Linked DNA regions of Callithrix jacchus. Each later gene encodes a partner of the first gene's protein in a complex. Links are inferred from orthologs where the notes say so. Each region holds a gene or a part of one and is shown on either strand. Other genes may lie near its edges. The genes, in order: NUP58 and NUP62.

What was found.
Region 2: NUP58 (region 1) and NUP62 share a complex: the UniProt entries of both Homo sapiens proteins name them as parts of the p62 complex. The link is inferred for Callithrix jacchus from reciprocal best matches to the Homo sapiens genes NUP58 and NUP62.

What each region holds. Positions count from the first base shown.
Region 1 is NC_133506.1:144,542,833-144,546,655, forward strand, and holds part of NUP58 (nucleoporin p58/p45), read left to right. Parts: intron 1-3,213; coding exon 3,214-3,356; intron 3,357-3,823. UniProt on the Homo sapiens protein: Component of the nuclear pore complex, a complex required for the trafficking across the nuclear membrane.
Region 2 is NC_133523.1:43,683,160-43,686,149, forward strand, and holds the end of NUP62 (nuclear pore glycoprotein p62), read right to left. Parts: coding exon 1,985-2,990; 3' UTR 630-1,984; downstream 1-629. UniProt on the Homo sapiens protein: Essential component of the nuclear pore complex. The N-terminal is probably involved in nucleocytoplasmic transport.

The DNA.
Region 1 (3,823 bases):
AATACTTAATATCAAGTCTGGCACTTGCTAAGTGCTCAATAAATGTTAGCTATTATGTTAGCTATGAAGTCTGCATTAGGGCCAGCTGGGCAAGTTAAAATAACATTCCTGATGTGATGGAGTCAAGCTGGCTTTTCTACAGCACATCCTATAAAGTCCCTGGCAGATAACACTGGTTTGAGGAGGTAATTGGTCAAGTCTAGGGTAGCTTTTGTTTTTCTTGAATTTAGTAAATTTCTCTTTTGCTTCTGTGGTAGAATAAGATTTCATTTTGATATGTTTCTTTGGCAGTATTTTCAACTTCCATTATTTTTTCATAATATATTCAAGTTATGAAGTTATTTTCAACTTCCATTATTACTTCATAATATCTTCAAGTTATGTTGTCAAGAAATTATACATGTATACAATTATTATTGTTTTTTTTTTGAGACAGTCTCACTCTTGTTACCTAGCCTGCCTGGAGTGCAGTGGTGCTCACTGCAACCTCTGCCTCCTGGGTTCAAGTGATTCTCCTACCTTAGCCTCCCGAATAGCTGGGATTATAGGCACGCCACCACACCCAGCTAATTTTTTTGGGGTGTGTAAGTTTAGTAGAGACAGGAGTTTTACCATGTTGGCCAGGCTGGTCTGGAACTCCCGACCTCAGGTGACCCCCCACCTCAGCCACCATGCCCTGCCTGTTGTCAAGAAATTTTAGATTTTAATTCATGGTGTAAAAATACAAATGTTTACTTTTCATCTTTTGTATATTTCCAAAATAGCAATTTTAAAAAAATGAGATCACTGATTTGTTTGGGAATAAGGAAAGCTTAATAACCATTTTCCTAATTATATGTCTTCAAAATTTGCCAATAGTGTTTTAATATCCCCCAGATAGCCATTTATTCTATTCCACATTGTACACAGAACAGTTTCAAAATAACAATGCAATCAGACTACCACCAGCTAAGCTAAATGTTTTTGGCATATATGCCTCTTTTATGGTTGTCCTACCTATGTTGTCTGGATATAGCCATTACATACTGTATTCTTTTGCTTGTAGTGCTCACTTAGGTTTTTGTATGTGTGATATCTCACTTAGTTTTGAATGTAGCAATATGTTCTTAAAAATACCTTATAATTTCAGAGTAAATGTTTAAAGATCTGTGGGTTTTTTTGTTTTTTGGTTTTTTTTTTTAAGACAGGACCTCTCTTTGTCTCCCAGGCTGGAATGCTGTGGCGCAATCTCAGCTCACTACAACCTCCACCTTGTGGGCTAAAGTGATCCTTACATCTCAGCTTCCTGAGTAGCTGAGATTACAGGCATGTAGCAGCACGCCTGGCTAATTTTTGTTTTTCGGGGTATTTTCTAGTTTTTTTCCATAGAGACAGTTTCATCATGTTGCCCAGGCTGGTCTCAAGCTCCTGGGCTCAAGCAGTCTGCCCACCTCAGCCTCCCAAAGTGCTGGGATTACAGGCATGAACCACTCAGCTTGGCCAAGATCTGTTTTAATTGTTGGTGAGATCTTGCAGCCCTGCTCTACCTTCTGCCTCGACTTCGAATTCTCTGGTGCACACAAACATATTTTAAAGATCAGTGGTAAACTAAGTACTTCCTCTCCTTTTACCTACTCAGTATGGATGGCCCATCTCAAGTTCTATCCCTTAATAAGCTCCTCTGTCTCCATTCTTATCTCAGTGATTAGCTCTGCCTCAAACTTCTGCAGTATCTCTTTGCTATCATTTGGTACTTGATTATAATCTGCCTAATAGTAATTATAAACTTACTGAAGGTGTACATTTCTACTGCTTGAATATTTCCTTCTCCCTTGTCCCCCAGTGTTTGCAAAAACCTGAGTGGCTTTTCGGGCTGATTATGAAATTGAAGACCCCCAGACCCAAGTAACTTGGAGAACTCTTATGGCTTGGAGTACAGTTATTTGTGTTGTTTATCCCCCAGTAAATGGCGTGTTCCTTAAGTAAGGGTTTAGTCATCTTTCTGCTCCCTCGCTATTCCTGGCATAACGCCTTGTACATAATATGTTTAGTTGAATTTATAAGTATCCCTAACGATAACAGTCATAACAACATTTACTGAAGTTAATTCACCCTGTGCAGTTCCTTAACCCTTTTATTAATTAATTTAATATTAATATTTAAAAAATTCTGCTAAGCGGGTACTATTAATTTCCATTTTGCAAATGAGGAAATAGAGGTTCAGAAAGGTTAAGGAATGGCATCCAAATACCAGAACATGGGGGAATTGGTACTGGAACCCAGCCACACTACTGGGTTCCTCTTACATTTCCTCTTTCATTGAAACGTTCCAGGGTTTTTGAGACTTTGAAAATGATATTGGGTTCTCTCATGATTATTCTTTATGGAAGGACAGTCAGGGAAGTAATAACTGTAAATATGTAGGATAAAGAGGATTCCCCATTATGCTATGCTCCCTTAACTCTTCTACATAATTCTTGAAGTGTCAACTTGTCAAAATTTTTTACTTATTTTCACAATTTGTCTTCCCACCTTTAGATAGCAAATCTGAACTTTTGAGTCTTAATGAGAGCAGTTGAAAAGTTGTGAACTTTGTTCACATTCACTTGTTTTTATCAGCTGTTCTTTTCTTAAGCTTTTTAACACTCTCTGAAGATTTTCTGCTACTGAACACATAATCCCGAGACAGTATGATTTTGCTTTGTGTTTAACTTTTGCCAGGAAATGTCCCCACTAGTTTTTCTGTTTTGCTTTTTTTGGTGGTAAGATACCTAACTATATGCTCTCCCCAACCTCATATTGCTCCATGAATGTGGTAATGTAGCAACAGAGAGGTAGTGAAGACAACTTAGAATACCTATGGCCATTTAAAAATATGCTAGGTTTCAAAAATTGGTGAAAGAATAATTGTGATCTCTACTTATGATTACCTTGAGTTCTGAAATCCTTATTGCTATAGACTGCTTTTCTTGAAATCTGGTACTATATTTTTTAAGACTTTTACATGTGGGTTCATTTTTAAGGAAGAACAGAAACTACCCGTTCTTCCTTAAACTTGGTGGGTTGAAGGTAAATTTATTGTTGTTTTTGGGTCCTATGACAATGTATTAGATATGTTACATGAATGAAATTATCTTGAAGAGGTAATTTTTATTTTTCATAAGTAAATATTGGCTCTAGTAGACTTCCTTTTGTGCCTGTGGTTTTTGTTTTGTTTCTGTTTTTTCAAATAAGCAACCCTTCTGTGGGGCTCAATTTTGGAACTCTTGGAAGTACTGCAACTCCAACAACTACATCTGCTCCTTCAAGTGGTTTTGGAACCGGGCTCTTTGGATCTAAACCTGCTACTGGGTTCACTCTAGGAGGAACAAACACAGGTGAGGAGGATCTGATCACACTGGTAGAGAGTAGGCTTGGGATATTCTTTCCTAAATTCTGTCCTATATCTCCCTTTACAAGGATCATCACTGGTAGTATATCTTAAAAAACGGTAAACGCTAAGATGAAAAGAAATATAAGGAATTGGAATCAAGAGCCAGTGATAGGCGCAATCATAGACTGTCATCTGTTCCTTTTCTGTTTTTCTCACTGAATTGTGGCAGACCCCTCTCTCTCTCTTTCTCTCTCTCTCTCTTTTTTGAGGTGGAGTCTTACTTTGTTGCCCAGGTTGGAGTACAGTGGCTCGATCTCAGTTCACTGTGAGCTCTGCCTGGAAGATCTCTTTCCTTAAATATAATGAATTAAAGTAATATAAATTTTTAGATTATATAATGCAGTGTTTTTCCTTAGTGGAGATTGTTGTTTAAGCCAGCTTTATCAATTTGGAACATTAACATACATGAGA
Region 2 (2,990 bases), on another chromosome or scaffold:
GATGGTGCCAGATGGCTTCACATGTGTATATTTTTTGAGACAGGGTCTTGCTCCATCGCCCAGGCTGGAGGGCAATGGCATGATCATGGCTCACTGCAGCCTCAAACTCCTGGGCTTAAGTGATCCTCCCACCTCAGCCTCCCAGGTCACTGGGACAACAGGCACATACCACCACGCCCAACCAACTTTCTTGTCGTATTTGCAGAGATGGTTTCGCCATGTTGCCCACGCTGCTCTTGAACCCCTGACCTCAAGTGATCTGCCCATCTTGGCCTCCCAAAGTGCTGGGATTACAGGTGTGAGCCACCTCGCCCAGCTGTGTTTGTGTATATTCTATGACATAACTGTCACGAACACCTGGGGCCCCTTAAGGACCTGAGGCCACGGCAGGTTCACTCTCATGTCCTCTTCTACCACTGGCTCTGGCCCTTCTGAGAGCAAACCACAGTTTGAATTTGTCTGTTCCTCCTCGTCAAACACGGCTTCATCGTATGCTCCTGTGTCTAAGCCAGCACTGCTTGGTTAGCTTGCAGGAGGCTTTCACATGAATGCCACCCTGGAGAGCCTCCTGGGATCCGCTCTTTCTACTCAACCTTCTCCTCCTAAAATCCATCCATATGAAGAACAGCTTTTTTGGCTTCACAACACATTTATTTAGAAAAGCAACATACGGTCAGAGAATGCAGCAAAGCGTAAAGAGAAATACAGAAGACACTTAGGATACAGCCGCTGGCTTCTGCCTTCCACACACGGTGGATTTTACTGTAACTGACTAGGGGAACTCTGGTGCCAGGAAGTTCACAACCAAGTCTGTGGCCATCACTGCAGCTGTGGCCAGTTCTGTGGACTGGCGTTATGTTGGGATTCATTGTTCTTTCATTTAACAAATGTGACAGGGACTGGGCTGGGGACGCACAGGAACAAGTGGGTCTCTGCCCGTGGGAGCTCAGAATCTAACAGTGAGACAGAGGCGCAAACAGCTAGCAAGGGACAGCGTAGAAAGTGCCACCAAGGTGCAGGCTCAGGGTGCTATGGGGACCTGCAAGGCCAACGGACTGAGCTTTGGGTAGCTGGGATGGCTTCCCGGAGGAGGTGAGGCCAGAGGTGGGGTAAGCCTGGGCCAGGCACAAGGCAGGCCTCTCGGCTCCCGTGTGTGGTTCCTCAACACCCTGTGTGCAGGCCCCTCAGCTGACCTGTCTTCTGTGAAATTCTCTATCCCACTGTCTGTTCTATTCACACTGTGCTTTGACTTGGTGGTCGGCTTTCAGGAACCCCCATCTTATACTCCAAAACTAGGCTACTGTTTCCCGGGAGGTTCTTTTTTTTTGAGATGGAGTCTCACTGTCACCCAGGCTGGAGTGCAGTGGCGCAATCTCGGCTCAAATGACACCTCCTGGGTTCAAGCGATTCTCCTGCCTCATCCTCTCCAGTAGCTGGGATCACAGACGCACGCCACCACTCGCGGCTAGTTTTTGTATTTTTAGTAGAGACAGGTTTTACCATGTTGGCCAGGCTGGACCTCAAACTTCTGACCTCATGTGATCCGCCTGCCTCAGCCTCCCGAGGTGCTGGAATTACAGGCATGAGCCACCGCGCCCAGCCTCGGAGGTTCTCTTACGCTTGGTGTTTTTCACGGCACCTGTGACTATGCTTTGGATGGAGCAGTTGCCCACCCGACCCTGGCTGGGACCAAGACTGTCAGCCCTTCTCCAGCATCTGACTGAGGCAGGATGAGATGGGTGTTTGCTGTGGGTAAAAAGGGGCCAAAGCCACTGAAATGAAAGCCACAGAAGCCACACCCATGAGGCTGCTGCCCGGGCAGAGGGCTCAGAACACTCCCTAAATGGGGAAAGTCAAAGCACAGAGCAGCTGTCTCCAGGGCACAGTCACGCGAAGGAAAGCAAGAAACAAGTATGCTGCTGTAACCCCACACCAGACCACAGGGCACACCCCCCCGTGGGACTCCCTGGGGACCCGCGGTGGCTCAGTCAAAGGTGATGCGGAAGCTGCGCTCCTGCTCCTTGCGCCGGCCCTCGCACACCTTGGTCACCTCCTCCACCTTCCTCTGCAGCAGGGCGGAGTTCTGGTCGATCCACTGCAGCGAGTCCATGTGTGCGTTGAGGATCTTGCAGATCTGCTGCAGCGGGTCGCTGGTGTCGGCGGGGGCCCCGGACGTGTTCAGGTGCTCGATGATGTCCTTGAGGTCCTGGGCCATGCGCTTCAGCTGCGCATCGATGTTCTCGGCCAGCTTGTAGGTCTTCTCGCGCTCCTCATCCGCGTGCTGCAGGTAGATGGTCCCGCTCTGCTCCTTGACCAGCTCCTCCAGTGGGCTCAGCAGGTCTTCCAGCTCCTTCTGCTGGGACAGGATGAAGTCGAGCTCCTGGTCCAGCCTCTTCTGGTCCAGCTTCACCTTCTCCACTTCTCGGTGCAGGGTGGTGATCTTCTCCCCGTTCTCGATCAGTGTGCGGTCCCAGGCGTTGACCTGGGTGGCCTGCTGGAGGAAGTGCCGCTCTTGGTCCTCCAGCTCCAGGCTCCATTTGTTGATCAGGCTCTCTAGCTGTGCGTAGGTCATGGCGGAGGTGGCGGCCACCCCTGCGGCTGCACCAGGGCCAGGTGGAGCAGTCACGGCGGCTGCCGTATTGCTGGGGATCCCGGCTGGCGCCAGTGGTTTTAAATTCAAGGCAAAGCTGGTGCTGCCGGTGCTGCTGCTGCTGCTGGTGCTACTGGTGGTGGTGATGGCAGCAGTGGATGTTGTTGTGGAGGTGCCGGAAGTTGCTCCGGGTGCTTTTAAGCTGAAGCCCAGTGTCCCAGTGGCAGGGGCTCCTGCTGTGGTTGCAGGGGTACAGAGGGAGAGGCCGGTGGTGGCGGACGAGGTTGGAGCGGTTGCTATTGAGGCAAAGAGGGTGGGCCCAGCACTGGTGGTGGTGGCCATTGGTGTGGGCGCAGCTGGCTGAGTGGCGCCTGCTGTGGTGGCTGCTGGCGTGGCCGGA